Alligator mississippiensis: one gene and its partner. The protein of the gene in region 2 binds, or shares a complex with, the protein of the main gene of each other region. Links are inferred from orthologs where the notes say so. Each region holds a gene or a part of one and is shown on either strand. Other genes may lie near its edges. The genes, in order: ANP32E and ING3.

The links.
Region 1: ING3 (region 2) and ANP32E share a complex: the UniProt entries of both Homo sapiens proteins name them as parts of the SWR1-like complex. The link is inferred for Alligator mississippiensis from reciprocal best matches to the Homo sapiens genes ING3 and ANP32E.

The regions. Positions count from the first base shown.
Region 1 is NC_081838.1:18,367,854-18,378,333, forward strand, and holds the start of ANP32E (acidic leucine-rich nuclear phosphoprotein 32 family member E), read right to left. Parts: upstream 4,366-10,480; 5' UTR 4,265-4,365; coding exon 4,211-4,264; intron 4,050-4,210; exon of another isoform or gene 3,528-4,049; intron 3,118-3,527; exon of another isoform or gene 2,537-3,117; intron 1,159-2,536; coding exon 1,009-1,158; intron 197-1,008; coding exon 74-196; intron 1-73. UniProt on the Homo sapiens protein: Histone chaperone that specifically mediates the genome-wide removal of histone H2A.Z/H2AZ1 from the nucleosome: removes H2A.Z/H2AZ1 from its normal sites of deposition, especially from enhancer and insulator regions.
Region 2 is NC_081827.1:46,129,988-46,140,453, forward strand, and holds the start of ING3 (inhibitor of growth protein 3), read right to left. Parts: upstream 4,051-10,466; 5' UTR 3,926-4,050; coding exon 3,898-3,925; exon of another isoform or gene 3,895-3,897; coding exon of another isoform or gene 3,894-3,894; intron 3,786-3,893; coding exon 3,714-3,785; intron 1-3,713. UniProt on the Homo sapiens protein: Component of the NuA4 histone acetyltransferase (HAT) complex which is involved in transcriptional activation of select genes principally by acetylation of nucleosomal histones H4 and H2A.

The DNA of each region.
Region 1 (10,480 bases), on a different chromosome or scaffold from region 2:
CTTTTATAATGCTAGAAAGATTCTGACTTCTTTAAGGCATTGCAATCTTCTAAGAATCTGACTTTGTACTTACAAGGGCTTCCACAGTGCTGAGATCTTTGATTTTGTTGCCACTTAGATTTAGATATGTGAGATTTGGACATCTTTCTGCCAGGACCTCTAGGCCTCCCGAAATGACGTTGTCGCTCAATTCCAGCTACAGCGCACAAAAGTTGGATAATTAGATGGTTGGTTTGATTGCTATCAAAATCAAGAGCCTGTATTTTATTGAAAGAACAAATGCATCACAAGACTATTGACTTCCTGTAGAGCCCGTAAAACCTCAGATTACTTGCATAAAATGAAGTCTGGTTAAAAATATAGCAACCCATGTTGATCACATGTACGTCTCTTCAGAGCCTAACATTTATTTCAGAAGCTCTTCACACCTGCACTTGATAGTGATAATTCATTAACTAGTTTCATACTTGGGTGCCTACAGACACTTAAGCATGTTCTACTGTAAGTCGGCAAGTGATCTCACCGATTCCAACTGCTCAGTTAGCATACTTAGTATGGTGCAAACTTAAAATATTTCCAGGCTTTATTTTTTACACGGGGATGTGAAACATAGCATTGGATCTTTGTACAGGCTTTAGGTCAACAGACTAGGTTGAAACTGGTTCCTTACAGGTAACGAACAATGACTTCAGTGTTCCCAGCACTTCACCTAATGTGATTGCTCCCGACCCCCTCTCTTTACAACAGAATGGGATGGCCATCGTTAACACAGTTTTCAAGTGATACTTTTTCAGTACTTTGGCTCATTAATGTTTGAAACCAGCATTAATTACATTCAGGGTCTTAAAGACTTAATTCTTAAGTTAGCAATGTTTAGTAAAACATTTCAATGAGATGCGTATTTCCATAGTCACAGTCACGTTTGCAAGTAGTTTAACTGTTGGTGTGTTTCAAGGTATACAACTTTGGCAGGAGAGAACGGATGGGTTTTTGTCTGAAGATGCATACCTTTCGGAGCTTACTCAAGGTGGGGAGCTTGGCCAGGGATGTCAGCTCTACGTTGGCCATGCTGAGAAACTCCAGCTCTTTAAAGGAGTCATTCAGACCTTCAATTTCGCCATTGCTGGATCGGCAGTTGTCAAGCACTAACTCTGTCACCTTGAAACAAAACAGAATGTCACTTATTACTTTAATAGGGACCCTCAACCAAGCAAGCAATTCGGGTCAAACCAGCAGCCTGACGACAGGCTTTGCTTCTCATCTGGGAAGACCTGAACTTGAGTTGTCTGAACTCATCGACCATATCAACCTTGAGAGGAAGTAAACAGAGTATGAAGCACCATCACAGAGAACCAGAAGATAAAAAACTTAATTTATTTGTTAACATGCTGGCTTCAGAAAGCACAACCACCAAGACAGAGTTCACAATCGCAGTCCTTTACAGGGCCGGACAAAAACCCATGGTCCTGGTTCTGATGAAAGCCAGGAACAGATGCATCAGAAGAAGCAAGGAGCCAAAAGCCAACTAGGCAATTACAGAATGACCTACCCATATAGTTTCCTTCCATAGCCATCACTTAATGGTTGCTTCATGCCCAGATGAGGGTTTATATTCCCATTCACTATTTAAAATAAGGGGGTATAGCCTCACTTGCCAGAAAAAAAGCACCAAATCCTCTTGTAAACCCTATAGCTTTGACCCTCAAAATACTGAGGCAGGGAGTATCATAGGTTAATAATGCACCAGACTGAAGCATTTGCTTCTTCATTCTAGATGCATTTACTCTGTGTCGCTGAACATCTTGCAGGGAAAAATCCATTTTCTGCTTGTCTGTCCTCCATGTCCCCACAAGTGGGCTGACCACAGTTGCTATTTTACCAATCCGGCTGCAAATGAAAAGGATTAAATGCAACACCAGTCTGGGAAGTTCAGCTCTGAAAGAGTCATCTGTAGAGATGACTAAAAAAGTCACTTGTTCACTGGCGACTTCTGAGTTATTTTGGTGGGCATGAGCTGCTCATTTGTTTCAAGTTTACAATCTTATTTCATGTTGCTGCAGAAAAAGTTGACCAGAGAGACTAGCTTTGAATTGTTTTGTGGTTTCCAAGTCCCAAAGTTGTTCAGGTTTTGCCCTGAAGAAAAGGGAAAGACTAAAACCATTTGGGGGGGGGGGGGTAACTCCAGCCACAGTTTAAAGGCTTTAAAAAAATAATCCAACACAGTCAACTTGTTAAAAAATATACTGTTTATCTGAGTAGTAGTTTTTATGCAGGGAATCTTTGTGCAATCAGTCACCCAGGCTGGGGTGGAGTAAAAGCACTTTGCAATATCAACCTATCTGGACTTTATTCTTGGGGAGAGCAAGACACGCCAGTCGATAGCGTCCTTACTGACCTAAATGCAAAAACATCTGCTGGAGCGACAAATCATTTGTTGGCCGAGTTTAACAGCAGGGAAGCGGAGGCTGCAAGTTGATCAGCCTGCTCTCCATGCAGCTGGCACTGCAGTCAATGAAATTACTACAGGAGATTAACTAAAACCACGACCCTCTCCTAAAAAGCAAAGCGCAGCCACAATCTTTCCCTGCGCAGCAGGGGAAAAAAACATGCATCAGATAACCACCTGCCTACAGCCACCTCGGGGAGGGTGGGGGTGGAAAAAAAGTACGTTTAACAATAGACGAAGCCTCTTCAGACATCACATCTCAATTCTGCGCATCTCGATTTGTTTTTGTAAGCACGAGTGCCTTGAGGCTGGCCAGAACCAAAATGGCTCGGGATTAAAAAGTTAAGAGAAATACTTTCAAGATGCCGTTGGCCCCCTCGCGCTGCGTTTCTGGACTTGACGTCAAAGGAAGAGGATTGAAAAAAAAAAAAAAAAAAGAAAAAAAAAGAACCCCCCCCATAAAGTTTTGCCATCACTGGCTTGCACGGGACTTTTGTTTTGAAGTCACGCCGGAGCGGCAGGGGATGGCATTTTCTGCAACACTGGAGCACCACTCCCAGCGCCGAGTTCGCGGAGGGAAGGAGCTACCTGACTGTAGCTGCATGGCGGGCAGGGAGAAGAGCCCTCCTGCGTTGTTCATGACCTCCCAACCGCGAACCTGACTGCTCTCGGTGGGTGGAGGGACCGGCCAGGAGCCTATCTTGTCTCCGATGACTGAGCAGGACCCAGCAGCAATCGCCTTATCTGCCTTTAGCCATTAGGAAGGCCGGTTATAAGCCGTGTGGCTGCAAGGGAAGGAGAGGAGGGTGCCATTACCCCATCATGTGCTCTCTGGGCAGAGCTGAAAAAACTCGGGGAGGGTGGAGGTGGGAAGGAGAAAGAAGAGAATCATCATCACCATCATCATAATAACGATAAGTAATAATAGATCCAATCCTGAATAAACAGCCCCAAACGTCAGCCGAGACACAGGCCAATTTTGACGAAAAGAGGGTTTCTGATCCTCTCCGATCGCCGGCTGGAGGAAAGCAAAGTCGGATCTACCCAGATGGTGTGATCTTTTTTTTTTTTTTTTTTTAAGATGGATTCGGTGCCACTACGACCTGTTTACAACCTCCACCAGCGAGAAGTTAAAAATAAATGAAGACCCATCCTGCCAGCAATGCCAGCGCGGGAGGGATGGGCGAGCGGGGGGCACGCGACTTCGGGCTTCTCCCCACCCCAAAGAAAAGCAGCTGTCGATTTATTCATTTATTTTTAAAAAGGATCCTTTAACACCTCCCCCCCAAAACTCACCCCCAAACACAACCGAGAAACTTATGGCGGGCGCATCGCGGTGGCTGACCCAGATTCGGAGTTCACCGAAGGAAAAAGGGGGAGGCGGAAAAGAAAAGCAAGTTCCTAATTTCCCCAAAATCAGCCGAATAAGGAGAGCAGATGCCCGCAGCAGCGATCGCAGCGAGCCCGTGCCCAGCGGAGGGGCTCCCAGCCCTCCTTCACTTTTCGAAAAGCAGCGCAGCGGGCAGAAAAAGCCTTTGGCCAGTCCAAAAAAAATCTTATCGTTGCAATAATAATAATAATAATAATGATGATAATAATAACACACGGCCGGGAGGTGAATAATTAGGAGAATGCACCATAAGGCACAAATGCGTAGTAAGGAGCACGCCGAGGAGGGGTGTTTTGGGGCCCGGGGCTCCTCCATGCCGGGTCGGGGCACGCGCAGCGCCGGGCACCGCCGCGACATGGCGGCCCCGTGCTCACCTTCTCGGGCGCGCGGTTCCTCAGCTCCAGCACCACGCGCTTCATCATCTCCATGGCCGAGCCCGCGCGGGCAGGGAGAGCTGGGCCGCCGCCCCCCGCGCCGCCGTCCCCCGCCGCCGCCGCCGGCCGGAGCTCCGCGCTGCTCAGTAGCCGGGCGCGCACTGAGCCTCCATGACATGGCGCACGGCGCCCCCTCGCCCAGGACACGCCCCCCGCGGCCGGCGGGGCGGGGCCAAGGAAGGGGCGAGCGCTTCCTCTCGATGCGCCGCTTTCCATTGGAGGAGCGGCGCGGCGCGCGGCGGCGGCCGATTGGCTCCGCCGGACGCCCGTCGAGGCTCCGAGCTTTTAAATGCGACCGTTGGCGGCGGTTGGGCGCCATTATGCGCCACGCGGTTCTGGTGGTTTGGTCTGTGGGGGTTAGGCCTGGGTGTCTAGAAGCAGATTAATGAAGTGTTACGGGCACTAAAAACAAAAAAAGGGACCTGTGTAGATGTTAGGTGCGAAGGCAGAGATTAGCAGCATGACGGGCTAAAGATAACACGTGTATTTAGTTAAACTGCTGCAAGGAACTGGCAGATACTTGTGCAAAGGGCTTGAAAGAGGAGGGGTGGTGTTGGGACCTGCTGGCTTCCGGTCCCAATTCCCAAACGAAGCCCTTTTGCTTTGATTAGGGCACGCGGCATCCTGGGGTGTCGCTTTTGAGGGTGCTGCGGCGTGCCGGGTAGTGTTTAGCCTTGTTAGGCGTGCACGCGTGATTCACCAGAAGAGAAACATAGGGGCTTTCATACAGGAATCAACAGAGTTCAAATCGTTGCGGTGTTGGGGGCTTTCTCAGCGCTTTGCGACAAGGCAAAAATGATTTGTCATTTGACAAAAAAAACCACTCGGGTGAAATCAGTAGTTTCTAAGGGGCGCCTGACGTCTAGAAAAATTGAGAACCGTGGGTTTAGTTCACTGCTGTGGAAATACCCAGTTGTTGGGGCGTGCAAGGGCAGCAAAAGTGCTCAGAAAGGCTGCCAAATTTGTGGCCTCACCATCTCTCGGGTTCAGGGGGAACGGGCAATGCAGGCTGGCATCCTTGATTAGTGCGAGGGACTGGTACGATGAGAGAACCGAAACAATAAATGCCGTGAAGACAAGGACTGCAAGCTCGTGACGGGTGTAGCGGTGAAGCTTCTAAGGAAAGAGAATAGTGTGGTCGGGGTTCACTGAGCAGCAGAGATTTGACCTGTCAAGAAGACCAGAGATTAGGCTGCAGTAGGTACTGGGCCATGAAGACCTAGACAGCAGTTAACAATGTGGGTGTCAAGAAAAAAACAAAGAAAAAAACCTCTTGGTGATAGTTCAGAGGTGGCGGCAGGTTTTGCCACGGTCTGAGAAAAGGGTCTAGAGCTCGATTCTCAATCGGGGGGCCACAGCAAACCAGATTCACAAGAAAAAACTAGAGATTTCAAATGGGGATCTAACATTAAGAACGGCTCTGCCTTGTCCGTGCTGATTGATCTTTCTGAGCTCTTTGCAACAGAAGAATTACTTTTCATGGTTTTACTTCAGTCAAAAAATGAGTGAAAACAAAGAGCTGGCATCTTCTATGGGGGGGCCTCGGGTCTAATGAGGGGTGCTGCGAGTGAAGATTGAAACCACTGGTTTAGAGAAAGGCACCGTCCTGCCCTTTCTCCTAGGTTATATGTAGCTTTGCGTTATCAGATGGCAGTGCCCTGAAACACTGAAAACAGGGTTGGGGTATAATAAAGAAGCCTAGCCCTTGCTTGTGTTTGCAAAAGCATCTGGCAGGGTGTTAAGCTTCTTGCTTTGTCTGTGAGATCTTTTGGTCTTGTGGCAGAGAGAGATTTCGTAGACGTAGAAGAGCTGCAAACGATTTTGACTGGAAATATAATGGGCCTTTTCCCAAGTGTTACGGTGGGAATCATCAACGTCACTAGAGCTCAGACTTAAAGCAAATGGTTCGTTCTTCAAAGAAATGCACTGATGCTAATTTAGCAATGCTGTTTCTTTGGGGAAGCTACGGCAAGGAGCAAAGGAGTTTGCTGGAGTCTATCCTTAGACAGATGAAGAAAGGGTTGAAATACTTTTTTCTCATCAAATTTCCCCAGAAAAGGTTGACAAGCACAATTAGCATCAAGAAAGGGGAGAACTGCTGTGAGCCCAGAGGAGGAAAAGAACAATTTGGGGATTATTTCAGTAAGCTTAGCATTTTCAAACCAGCAGGACCTGATGAGATTCATCCTAGAGCACTCAAAGTATTAGCTGAATTAATTGCAGGCTCATTGACCTATTATGTTTGAGAGGTGAGGTGAGGTCTCAGAGCTGGAAGAGGACAAATGCAGTAGTTTAGAAAAGGGGAAAAGGAAGATGCAGCAAATTGCAGAGCAGTCTAATTTTAGTGCTGGGGAAGACGCTGGAGGGCATGTATATATTAAAAAAAGACTTGTAACCGCTTAAAAGAGAACTAGCTGATAAGTGACAGCATGATTTTATTAAGGGCAAGTCAGGTGTAACCAATCTGATTGTCTTCTCTGACAAGGTAAATGAGCCTGGTGTGCGTGGGGTGGGGGAAGGCAGTGGATGCCATGTACCGCTTGTTTTTAGTATGGCTTTTGATACAGGCTCCTGTGCCACTATCTCGAGCAAACTAAGGCAATATCATCTAGGTGCAACTAATACAAAGTTGGCGCATAATTGATTGGATAATTGCATATAAAGAGTAGAAGGAGGCATTGAGTGGAGCCCTCCAGGATGCGTTCTGGTCCAGTACTGTTCAAATACCAGTTGAATGAAGTGCATGCTTTGTGCATTTGCAGATAACCTCCAGCAGGACGGGACTAAGATTCAAAATGATTTGGATAAAGCTGAGAAATGGTCTTAAAGAATTAGGATGCAATTCAGCGAGGGCAAGTGAGGAAAGAAGAATCAGATACACAAATACAGACTAATGACTGTCTAGGCTAAAGCCATGTGGAGAAGGAGCTACGGTTCAAGTGGATTGCAAGCTGATGTGGGTAAACGGCATGATTTTGTATGAAAGCAATGCCATCCTAGGTTATGTTCATAGACGTGCAGCATGAAGTGAGTTCTTGTTCAGGGCGGTCCTCACCTACCACAGTTTGGAGCCCAGCACCTGCAGAAAGATGTGGGCAAACTGGGCAGAACCCAGAAGAGACCAAACCAGAATGGTTAAAAGTCTGGAAAGCACTAACATAAGAGGAAAGGCTGGAGGAACGGGGATTATTTAGTCTAGAAAAGAGAAGAAAGTTTTTTCTTTCTATGGGAAGGTGACTTGGAAAGCCGTGACATCTTGCCATGCAATGACCCTAAAACATTAAAAAAACAAGGATGTGCTATTAGACAGCTTTTACAGATGGGCAAACAAAGGCACAAATATATCTGGTGCCCACCCCGTGTCCATGCGAGTCAGCGGTAGGCCTGGGAACAGAAGCCTTGATAGTTCCCCTGCTGGCTTTCCCCACTCAGCCTGCCTTAGGCTTGGGGTTTGGGGCAAATTAGTGTAAAAACAGACCTTCAATTTTTTCAATTTGGCTGTTGTATTAGCATTAATGCCAAACACACGAATTTGGGGATTAACTAGCTCAACAGTAAATAAAAAGGGGTGGGGGCGAACCCTCACTGAGCATAGGCCTGCAGTTTGGTCCCACTCACCACTAAAATAATTAGTAATAAATGTTGACACAAAATAGAGGGGAATCAACCATAGGCAATGTGTAGTTGGGGGCACATGCCCCCCCTGAGATTGGCCCTTGCTGGCTGGGGAGTGGGGGGTGCTAGCTGGTGCCCCCTGAGATTGTGGGGGTGCCAAGAGAAGTGTCGGTGGCACTTCTGGGTTTGCTGCTGGCGCTGCTGCTGGAAGTGGCGATTGGCTGCTGGGAACTCCCCCCCCCCCCCCCCCCCCCCCGGGTTCCAGTCGGCATTTGGCTGTTGGTGCCCCCCTGGTATCAGGAGCCAGCAGTTGCCCATGGAATCATCAATATACTGAACAACAGGAACAATAAAAAAAAAAAAAAAAATCAATGAAGCAATACACCAACCGTACTAACAGCTATAGGACACAGAGAAGAATTCTCACAGCAGGTGCTAGGGAGCAGCTTGGCTTTCCTTCCTGCCACCCCCATGCCTTTGCTGCCTGGCGAGCCAATCGCACAAACTCACTGTCTCAGCATCACTTTTCACCCTGGCCCTTGGGCACGCGGCTCCAGAGCACTCTTGCACCTCTCCTCAGGTACAAGCTTCATGTGCAACCTTCCCACCTACACAGGAGTGTGGTCGCTTGAGCCTTCACTCGGGCGTACATGTGGTCCAATTGTCCAGTGTGTGTGAGTGGGGGGCTGAGAAACCGCCCTCCAGCCCGTTGGCCATCCCTACGGACCTGAGACTAGTCACATCATCACCCAGGACCGTAGCCATGACATTATGTAAGGCAGCAAGTGCTTGGAGGTGCTGTCAGGGGCGCTGTGGTTTGCAGCTGCCCCACAGAAGGGCCGTGGTGTTAGATAAAAGTAGTTTACATATTAGATAAGAAAAGTGAATGTAGTAGGTAGGGGAGATCCAGCTTGACTTCTCAGGGTGTCTGGCCCCCAGGACCTGTTCCCTTTCTGGAGATTTTGAGGCTTCAAGGTGGTGCCTGCCTAAGCTGCCCTTGGTGCCCTCAAGGCAGGATCCCCTGCGTGGGGCCCAGTAGAAGCGCAGCGGAGACCTCTTCCTTTCTTGCAGAACCTGCAGTAATCGCACCACAACACCGTACAATGTGTTTGGGGCTCACGAATTGTCCCTGCCCCAAACCTCAGCCTGACCCCAATCCCTGATGTCTCACGCAGCAGGATTCAGGTCGCTGGCTTAGAGCAGGGCTGCGTCCTGCAGCCGACCAGGGCAGGCCCACCCCAACGCGCTCTCCAACAGTAAATGAAAGCAGGGTCGAACATTAAATTTTTTAGTTTAGTTCTGGTTCAGGTTCAGCTGCAACTGAAGTTGTTCCAGTTTAGTTCTGGTTCAGGCCAATAAAGGTTCAGTAACCGGTTCGGCACACACAACCAACTGGTTCAGTTCTGGTTCACATGAGAAAATTTAAATAAGGTACATAATTTATAATGATGGTCATTTGCATAGTGGGGTGGAGCAAGCTAAATGACTGTTGCCAACGAAGTGTCAGCAATAAGTACTACGAAGCACGCGTGAAACAAAAAATAAATTCTAAGTACTTAACAAATAAATGCTTATTTTATTTGTATTGTTTAATTTTAATTGTACAATCAGAGACGTGTAATAGGTGAAGAAGCAAATTTAAAGAAGCAGTTTTAAAGAGGAAGGAAAAGAAAAGGACCTAGTAAATAATCATAGAACTGTCCCTGTGATTAGTTAGTTAACTTCTCAAGATTATATAGTTTTCAACTCATTTAATAAAACTAGGGAAACAGAATTATCAACCTTAAACAGATGGATCTTAGGCCTATCATATTCCCGACACGCTTGACTTGCATTGTTTTGTACTCAGTATTACAGCTGTCTGTCATTTCTATGCAGTCTCATTAACAACATCCTTCAAGATTGCCTCCTTCATATTGGATCTTTGTGGTGACAATATGGACTTTCAAGTTGAAAATGCTTGTTCCATGCTTACTCGAGTTGATGGCACTGACAAGGCAACCTGAAAAATTGGTACAGCTCACATCTAGATATTTTCTGAGTCTACCCGTAATTCAATATATTTACGTCTTTATTCAATTGTGGCTCATCCACAAACGAGTCAGACAGGGACCAATCCTGTTTCACCTGTGCCAGAAGACAGTGACTTGCTGCTTCAAGTTCTCTCTTGACTGAAGGGATGATTCCAACTTGTCATCCTTTCTTCTGTGTGTCGTATGCAGATTAGAGTTAACGGATGAGTCTACATTCCTGCCATTGCTATGGATGATGGTTCCCATCCTCTGCCATGTTGACATGAGATGACACTTGGTTTAAGTTATGTCCATGTCAGTCAGCAGCAATTGATACCTAGGATCTAGGTATATAGCTGCAAGTATCTCTTCATTTTCAAAAATATATTTTTCACGTTTTTTTCATGCTACCTACTAGCTTGCTAGAAGACAGGGTTGCTACTTTTGAGATTTCCAGCTGGCACTTCAGCCATGTCCCATAGAAACCCAATCGCGGTATAAACGCGGAAACCGACTCCTTTTGCTTGACAAGTGTTATGCAAGTCAAACTGCAGTGTGCCCCCCTGGGTCACTCCTCCAAATA
Region 2 (10,466 bases):
TGTTGTGTTTATGAAGGCACACAAGGTTCTTTAGGTAAATGTGATATCTTGTATTAGACCAGGGGTGGGCAAAATATGGCCCATGGGCCAAATCCTATCTGGCCTGTGGAGCCCCTAAAAAAAATTTAGAAAATTAATATTTGTCTGCCCCAGCTGTCTGTCAAAGATGACAACAGCCAGGGGCAGTAGGACCCAGGGGAAGCCCCAGCAGGCTCCTGCAATAGCAGGGTCCACCCAGACCCACCCCACAACCAGAAGCCCCTGAGAAGGAAATTCAGGTAAAAAGAGGAAGTGGGGAAAGTGGTAGTGGGGGCAGGCGTGCAGGAGTGTGGGGCCTATGCCAGTGTCCCGGGGCCAGCGCTGGCAGGGCCCAGAGCAAGTGGCAGGAACATGGGGTGTAGGATGGCAGGGGTCTATGGAGCTGGGCTCCACTGTGCCAGCAGGGAGAGGGGAGCTGGCCCAGCTCCAAAGAGCCCCAGCCAGCTGGGACCCTGCACTCTTGTCGCCTGCTCTGGGCCATGCCGGTGCTGGCACTGGCACAGGTCCCACACTCCTGCCCAGCTGCCACGTGCCTGCTTGCTCCCAGCCCCGTGGCGGGCACAGGTGGGAATGACCGCAAACAGCACTGATCCTGCACACCCTGTGCTCGTCCATCCGGGCTGAGCAACAGCAGCAGCAGGGAGCAAGCCAATAGTTCAGCAAGAGGGAAAAGCTGCCCCTCCCCCTCCTGCTGCCAGCATTCCCTGCCCATTTGGGGCTATCCTGTCTGTCCACCATGTCCCCACCACCCATGGAGCAGTGGTGGCAGTGGAGAGAGAGCACAGGTAGCCCTGTGTGGGCTCCAAGCAGCTGCCACAGGGAGCACCGGTGGTGGGAGGTGAAGCAGCTGCTTTTCTGCCGCTCCAGCAGCTTTTCGTGCTCTGCCACTGCTGCTGCTCAGGCCACTGAGTGAACCTGGAGCCGCTGCGGCGCCCAGGCTGACAACAGCGGTGACAAACAAAGTGCAGCTGAGTGCAGAGGAAAAGCACTCCCCCTTCCGCTGGGCAGTTTGCTGGAGCCTGCTCCACGCTAGGCTCTGCTGTGGCTCTTTTGCCGCCAGCTCTGTGGCCACGTGAAGCAGCAGCACTGGGCAGCACAGAGCCGGCAGCAAAAGAGCTGCAGCGGAGCCTAGCATGGTGTGGGCTCCCCCAGCAAACACAGCCCAGAGGTGGTAAGGGGGGTGTATTTTCATTTGCCCTGGCAGCAGTTCGTGCCCTGCTACTACTCAGCCTGATGGGCGAGCCTGGAGCCAGTGCAGGGCCCAGGCTGGCAGCAGCAGTGAGGAACAAACTGCAACTGAGGGGAAAAGCGGTCCCTCCCCCTCCCGCCACTGGCACTCCCTGCAACATCTGCTTGGAGGCCACGTGGGGCTGCCTGTGCCCGTTCTCCATTGCCACAGTTGCCCCATGGGTGGCAGGGGCACAGAGGAGAGGCAGGACAGCCCTGCATGGGCTCTGGGCGGCTGCCACAGGGAGCACAGGTGGCAGGAGGGGGAATGGCTACTTTTCTCTCATGCTGAGCAGCAGCTTGTTCCCCACTGCCAACGGTGCTCAGCCCACAGGCGAGGGTGGGGCACGTGGGGTCAGGGCTGCTTGCAGTCATCCCTGCCTGTGCCACAGGGCTAGGGCTGGCGGGGCTAGGAGCGAGTGGGTGTGCGCAGCCAGATGGGAGCCGTGGCTTCCGCTACCGGTAGTTACGTGTAGGCAGCAGGGCAGCCCCAAGAGGGAGGCAGCTGGCTCTGTGTGCTCTGTCCTGCTCCCACGGTGATGGATGAGCCCAATAAGGTGCTGCCCATGCACCAGGACCGCGCCAGGCTGGGCAGGACCCTCCACTCCTGCGCACAGCTGAGAACAGGGGGATGCAAGCAGGGAAATGCCCACTTTCCTGCCCACCCGCTGGCCGCTCTGCACCCTGTGTCTCCCATACCCACAATACCATACCCAGAGACATCCCAACAAACCCCCATACCCAACCACACAAAGCTCCCCACAAACCACCTACCCCATACCTCCTGACACCCATGCACACCCGACACAGTATACGACTGTATTTTGAGCTTTTATGCAATCACTTCTACATATATAGCACAAACACACACAAATCAGATAATAATATTTTTTTAAATTAAATTAAAATATATCATTATGGGTGCCTGACTTTTACTATATAATTTATTTCCACCACCACCTTAGATGGCAAACCCTCTTCCCCAAAGGAGTACTTGCAGGGGCAAGGAGAGGGACTTCTGGTGGCAAAGGTCAGAGGTTAAGCAGGTGGGACTTCCAGTCCCAAGATGGTGACCAGGGAGCGGGGCACCTGGCAAGGAACGAAGCTACCCATGCGGACCTCTACAGCTTGCCAAAACTCGGTAAGTGGCCCTCTGCCTGAAATAATTGCCCGCTCCTGTATTAGACCAACTGAGTAGTAGGAAAAATTGTTCTTTGCAAACTTTCAGGCACAAACACCCTTCTTCAGGTTTATCAAGAGTTTCTGTGAAGAGATTTAGTACCTGACACAGCACAAGAGAAAAAAAAAAAAGCATTAAAAGTGGGACTAAAACTTTGAGGATGAATAGATGTGATTTGGCCAGCTCCCCAAACATATTCTGCCACTCATGTGGTCTCAACTTGAGCTTGTTTACTCTTAGTTCTGCCTTACTCTTTAAAAGAACACATTGCCTCATATCATGAGTGGAGTCCCATGGATTTCAAGCACTGTAGCCTGAAAAAGACGGAGCATGGGATGCATAAACGCTATTTGCTGGCAACACAAAGTTTGGAGTTGTGGACTGGGATCTCACCCAGGAAGAACGGGATGATCTCGAGGACCAGAGAAATAGAAATGCTATTTCACAGTCCAGACACCAGCGCAAACACCAAGACCTCGTGCTGTAACTGAGGTGTCAGCCCACAGCAGGCATGAGGTTGCATATGGGTGCCACCAAGGTGACAAGGCAGGTGGGGTTGAAATAGAGTTGCCAACCCTCCAGGAATTGGAGATAAATTTCCAGGAGACTGCTGAGTCACCCAGGAGATAATATTTCTTTTAATAAATGCCCTATCGTTTAAGTGTCAACCTCTGATTTATACAGTTGTCCAGTGGGTTTTTAAAACGCAACAGTCATGTGCATTTGCCTTCCTGACTGTCATTACATCATGTGATGAAGCCTCCTGGAACAGATTCAAACAGACTTGGTGACCCCAAGTAGAAATCAAGCAAGTCCATGCAAAGCAACAACACGGCAATGAAACTGAAGAATAAAACAGGGAGGAGGAGGAAGAAGGAGAAGGAGGGGGAAAAAAAGCTGCAGACAGGACCAGGCAGTGTCGCCCCCTCCTGGGTCTTCTGGTCTCCCACGTGGAGACTCCGCTCAGCAGCTCTCTGCCGCCCCGGGGAAGCGCAGCCTGGCGCTGCTGCCCCCACGCGGGCACCCAGCCGCTGCCAGGAGAAGCGGCAGGGCAGCAGCGCCGCCCCCGGGGACCGCCTGCACGCGGGGCTCCAGCGCTCCGCCCCTCTTTGCGCGCGGCCCCGGCAGCAGCAGCGGCGGCACCGCCTCCCCGCGGGGCAGCGCCCGGGGCCGAGCGTGGGGCGGGGGCTGGAGCTGGGCCCGCCCCCCGCGGGCGGGGAGGAGGGGGGAGGGGAGCGCGGGGCGGGGCGGGGCGGGACTCACGTACTCTGCACCTGCAGGTCCATCTCGCGCATCTCGGTGAACCTGTCGCGCAGATCCATGGGAAGCTGCTCGATCACTGCGGGCACACGGGGGGAGGGGGTCAGCCGCCGCCGGAGGCAGGGGAGCCGCCGCGCCGCCCTCGCCCCCGCACCGCGCCGCCGTCCCCCCCCCCCGCCGCACGCACTCACTCTCCAGATAGTCCTCCAGATACAGCATGGCGGCGGCCGGGCCGGGCCCGCGCCCAGGGGCTCCTCGCTAACGGGCTCGTCCCTTCCAATATGGCGCCGCCGCCAACAACGCCAGCAGCTCGACTCAGCGAAAACAACATTGGCGGCGGCGGGCACTCGCCTTAACCGCGTTGCGATTGGCTGCCGCCCGCGCTGACGTACCCGGGCCCCGCAGCATCCTGGGACGTGTAGTCGCGCTGGGGACCCCGGCGGGGAAGGGGGCGGGGACTACATGTCCCAGGAGGCTCCGCGCCCAGCTGGGGCCTCATCCCGCGCGGCAGGACAGTGGAAGTTCTTGCGGTGCCAAGTGCAGGGCGGCAAAGTGGAGCTTCTCAGTGACTCGCTCGTATTCCTGCCCCAAAGGCCTGAAGCACATCTGAATGGGTCACGTTTTTTTAGGAGGAGCTCAGCTTTTCATATATTTCTAGCCCTCATAGTTGACATAGGGTTTTTCCCTCCTGGAAGTTGGAGTTGCTACCTCTCAATCTCTTTTGGAGGTGCCCCCGCTCCTGTTCCTGAGAGCTCTAGCTCCTGGGGTCATGTTATTTCAGGAGGATCTCAGCTTTCAGTTTTTTACATATATTTCTAGCCCTCCTGGTTGACACTAGGGTTTGAATTACGGGGGGGTCCCCATAAGAGACAAGAGCGCCCCCCCCCCAAAAAAAGATGAGGGCCCCCAGCCCACCCCGTGCCTTTCTAAGCACTTAAGGCAACGGCAGTGGCTTCTTCCAGCTTCCGGCTGCCACTGCCACAGACCCCCCACACAAAGAGTCAGAGTGTCATTCAAACCCTGGCTAACGCATCGCACCACATGTTAAGCCCCCCACATTCTTCAATGCAAAAAAGTCCTTGGAGCAGAGCTCCATAGTAGGTTTCATTGCATTCACTGCCTTCATCAATCACTTCTGCGTTCAGAATTTGCCACCCAATTTCTGCAAATATTCCTACAATAGCGCAGAATTCTGGGGTATATGAGACAGAACTGGAAGTCAATCTAAATTTGCTGCTTTTGATGTGCCTGAGGTACTGAATCAAAGTGCCTTAAAGCCTCCCTTGCCCCCCATCTGCTCCCCAAAATTAGAAGCTACATAAAAGGAACCTGAAATACAGTATTATTTAAAATCTTACAATTTGCATATGTGTTAAACAAGGTTTCAAGCACAAAATGCCCTTTTCAGGCATGAGAATAAAGTCAACATTTTTGTGATATATATACATTTTTGGTTGTTGTTATTTCTTAATATGTAAGATTGATAATATGACACTAATACCACATGAGATGACAATATATATAACTTGCACACTTTTTTTTGTACAAATGCCATGCAGTATGTACCCATTTCATATGCTGTCATGAATAGCTCCTTTTTCATATCTAATGGTACACTGGTGTATATAACAAAACATGAAATGGGCCTGACATAAAGTCAGTGGACTGCGATTAACTTCTGTGAGCTTTGTATGTACATCCAATGTCTGGTCCAGCAAAGTTGGTGCTTGAGTATCACTACCTTAATACTGGTAACATTGGCTTCATTCAGCAATATCAGGACCTGTACATGGCCTTCAGTGAGCTTACTAAGGCCTCTGATTGTGACCACCAGTCACAAACCCCTGTGGAAAGTACTGACTTCTGAAAAGTTCTTCAAGGTTCTACGCCTTCTCCATGACCAGACGACTACGAGCAGTCTTTGCAGCAGATCAGAAACAGATCCATGTGTCATCTGAACTGCAGTCGAGCAAGGATGCATCGTTACTCTAATGCTGATCTCCATTTTTTTGACAGTCATCCTGGTTCTCATTAAGGACCACCTTACTTCCAGAACTGACACTGAATATCAAACGGATGGAGTACTCTTCAATTTGGGATGTTTTCCCTCAAAGACCAAAGTTCTGAAAACATCCACCTTCTGACAAGTGTGCCATCCTTGCATACATTGAGGAAAACCTCCAGACCACACCAGATCTCTTTGCAAAAGCCTACCGAACTTTGGGTCTCCCTCTCAATATCGAGAAGAAGTGGTCTATCAGCCCATTGCAGGCCATGAATATGACCCAAATTACCATTGAGGGAAAGACCTAGGAGGTATTCAAGAACTTCCCCTACCTCAGTAGCTACCTCTCAGAGAGTGAACACTGATGAGGAGATCCAGCACAGCATGGGCAACTGGTGCCGTCTTAGTCAGGGGGGGCACGTGCCAGTGACCAGTCAGCAATCGCAGCCAATCTTGCCACCTGGGGGGTAAGAGTTCCCCCGCAGAAAAACTTGCTGACCTGGAAGTGGCTGCAGTGCTTCTGGAAGTGGCCATGGTGCTACATCGGCTCCCCCACTCTCTGGCCAGCATTTGCAGGGGGTACATTGGTGCTCCTGCCTGCCACCCCCCCCCCCGGCCCCCCGCTCATTGCCTAAGTGGGGAGTGTGGCTGGTCACAGGGTGCACCAGCGTGCTCAGGGGGTGCACATGCACCCCCATTCACCCGCTATGTGTTGCTACTGCAGCACGGGATCTGGTACACAAGTGCCTCCCTTGGAAAATTGCTGCAGCCTATCTTTATTCACTGTGATCTCCAGAAAGACACCGAGATCCAGGTCTACAATGCAGTCATCATTCCCACTTCTCTCTATGGATGTGAAATGAGAATGACCTACCATTGTCATCTCAAGAGCCTAGATAGGTATTACCAATAATGCACCTGGAAAAATTCTCCACATCAAATAGGAAGATTGCCATACAAACACCAGCATCCTTGCTAAAGCCAGTGTTACCAGCTTGAGTCAGTAATCCTCAAGCACCAACTTCCCTGGTCTGGGCATTGTGTGTGGATGTCTGGCTCTCAGCTTACAAAACAAGTGATCTACTCCCCGTTCACTTATGGCCTGAGAGATCGCAGTGACCAGAGGAAATTCTACAAGGACACATTAAAGGCATACCTGAACAAATGGATGACAGCATCAAGAGCTCGGAGCAGCTGGCTGCCAACAGACTCCAGTGATGCCACAGCCTCAACCAAGCAGTTGCCTGTTTCAAGGTAAAGCATCCTGCCCTCAAAGCAGACGAGAGAGCAGAGGAAGGAAAAGGAGAGGAACTCCAGGCTATGGCCTGTTCTGTCCTGTAGAAAGTTTGCAAGCCGTCCCACTTGTATGTCCTCTGTAACTTGATTGAGAAACTTGCTGTTCCTTCAGATTATTAATAAAAATGTCAAACAGTACAGGATACATAACAGACCCCTGTGAGACTTTGGGCTGTTCTGACATTGATTCATTTATAGTAACTCTCTTCTTGTGGTTATTTAGCCAGTTATGTTTCGACTTAGCAGTGATTTTATCTAGCCCTTATTTCTCTAATTTACTTATAAGAATGCCATGTAGGACCTACCAAGACCTTACTAAAGTCAAAGTACATTATGTCTGTCAAACTAGTTATCCTGTCAAAGAAAGGAATCACAATAGTTTGACATGTTTTGCACTTAGCAAATACATGCCAGATACTAGTGATCACCTCTTCTTCCTTCAGGTGTTTACAAACTGGCTGTTTTATTGTTTATTCCAGTAACTTCCCAGGTATTGAAGTCAGGAAAGCTGATCTGTAATTTCCCACCCCCTTTTTAGAGATGGGTATTATGTTAGTCCTTCTCCAGTCCATTGTGGCAGAACAGATACTTTTCTTGTTTTTAAAGAGTTTTGATGTATAACTAGTTAAAATACATTTGAATTTTAAATCTCAGACATATTTTTTTTTTATCTGGGATATGTGGAAAATAGTTTTCTTTTCACTATTTTTGGACAAACATTATGTAAAAAAAAAAAAAAAGACATTTTAAAAAGTCCTATATTGTGGTGACCTACAGAGGCTTTTCTAAAAAGGTCTGAGAACAATGAATGTTGATTTCTTCAAGAAAGATTGCATTTAAGCATTGGTGATGCATAGAGGTGCACCGCCTGAGAGAAGTGCCAGCAGCATTTCTGGTTTTGCCGCCGGCACTTCCACATGCATTTAAGCACCCATTTTTCATACACATCCCACCCTTGGCCATTCTGCAAAGACATCCAATGACTAACAGTTGGTATCTTCTGGCATTTCTGTGGTGAGTACATTTATACATGGAAAATTGGATTGAGAGCATTGGCTAATTCCATGTCAGTCATTGAACAGTTGTTAGGTAGAAATTACATCATACTTTTGCAATTAACCAGAAGGCCTAGATCAGTGATTCTCAAACTTTTTAGACTTGAGGCATCCTCAGAAAATGCCAGCTTTCAGCTTTCACTCATTTTTTACTACAAAAAAAATAATAGAGCAATTCTTTCATTGCAAATAACTCAGAAAAACTGCAATAAGAATCCTCTTGACACTATGAATTCCTATTCGAAATCTCTGGCTTTATCTAATGAATCATTTGTGGGTGTTTACACACCTAACAGTGCTAGTATTGCATGGAACCCTGTGGCACCCTTAAAAGAATGTCATGACACTCTAGGGCAGGGGTGGGCAATTAGTTTGGGTGGAGGGCTGCTTACTGAGTTTTGGCAAGCCAACGAGGGCTGCATGATAGGCAGCCAGAGGCAGATAAATATTAATTTTCTAAATGTTTTAATGGCCCCGCGGGCTGGATAGAATGGCCTGGCGGGCCGTACCCAGCCCCCAGGCTGCATTTTGCCCAACCCTGCTTTAGGATGCCACAGCAGCATGGTTGAGAATCACTGTCCTAGATGACAAGCTCTGTACCATATTGCTTACAGGAAACACCCCATTGTCCAAGTGCAATGCATGGAGCTAAAATGACAAATATTGATGATTGTCATGAGACATTTTAAGATAAATGAGGAAACCCATTTTCATAAAATCATAGAAGTAGGGTCAGAAGGGACCTTGTAGATCTTTGAGTCTGACCCCCTGCCTGGGCAGGAGGAAAACTGGGCTCAAAAAATTTTACTTATAAAGTCCTTCATATATAATCTTAACCAGCTGCTTTGCATTATTAAATATAAGTTCAATTCATTGAATGCATTGAATTCTACAGAAAGGTCACAGTGTTATCAACCTCTGATTCTAAAATGACGATATAAAATTAACTTAAGTAATTAATTGAAGAGCAGCTATAAGTTGTCAGAGAACTCCATTAAATGAGAGCAAGCTAGTTAAATGAGTCATTTTCATTACAGAAGGAATAGCATGCCGATACTTAACAAAAATGAGACAGGAAAGGAAGCCTGTTTCTACACAAAATTGTTTCTACACAATTTGTTGTGCAGGGGACTAAGACTCTGATCCTTTCTGCAGCTGAGGATTGATGAATCTTTATCTACTCACTGAAGTCAAAGGGCTTCACATTAAAAGAAAACTCAGCCCAAAATCTTAGGTTAAGATAGTTGTATCCTGTTTTCTTTAGAGAAAAGCTGAATGAGTTTTGGGAAATTTGGGGACATGAAGTCATTTTTTAAAAATGTTTGTCATACCATGTCTTTTTTTAAAGTGAGAATATTAACAGCTCTTGTAAAATTAATATGAATTTGTTTTTTCTCCTTCAAGAAGAGTGAGTATTATAGTATTTTGGGACAGGAGCTTGAGTTACTGTTTAGACAACTCAGTTCAGGTCAAAATCAGTCTTCTGATACAATCAACAATGGGGTTTTAAGAATGTGAATGTAGGATCTATCTGGTTCAGTATCTATTAAGAGGTATATAGGAACAAGAGTATCTGCCCTTAGCTTTTTCAATGTGAATTTTGTCTCTAGAGTCTCACATTTTTCACTACAGTTTCATTTCTGTTGTTTTATTCATATTAGGTAGTCAGATAATATGAATAGTCAGAATTAGTTCCATGAGATTTACATGCAAATAGATCCTGCTCACAGGTAAGAGTGGTAGAACTGAGCTATAATTTGATTTTTTAAATAGAATGAGTTAAGGCCATAAAAAGAGACTTTTTTTAAAGATGAAAAACTTCCCATTGTACATAAATGTGGAGAATTAACTCTATTGACTAACCTGGCTTTTATAGCATCCTAATTGCCTACAATTAAGGAAAAATAGATTAGTGACAGAGCTTATTGAGATGCAAATAAACTTCAAAGAAAACTGAACCCCAACTGTGAAACATTCATGAACTTGAGAAAAAAGAAGATTCAGCTACTGAATTCATTCCATGCTGCTCAAACATGCCAAAGAACAATCAAACTGTTTAGTACAGAGGAGTGGAGGCCATAAGAGCTGCCATTTCCTATGAATGATTTATATGGCAAAATTACTGATATTAATGGCATTTGTCCTGCAAGCATTCCACATAAATTGCATATTGTCACCTCTATTAGCATGCTACACTATACCTAAAGAATATTACTGTTTTTCTGTGACTCAAAGCAAATTGCATGAAAAAAATCTCTTTTTTCTATTAATGGAATCATAACTGATTAGAAAAGTGAATAACTTATATGTTTGCATATGATGAAATATTCTTATGCACATTTAAAAGCATTTCATCAACTTAAAAATAAAAATTTTAAAAAGTCTTTCTTAATCTCCCTCTGGT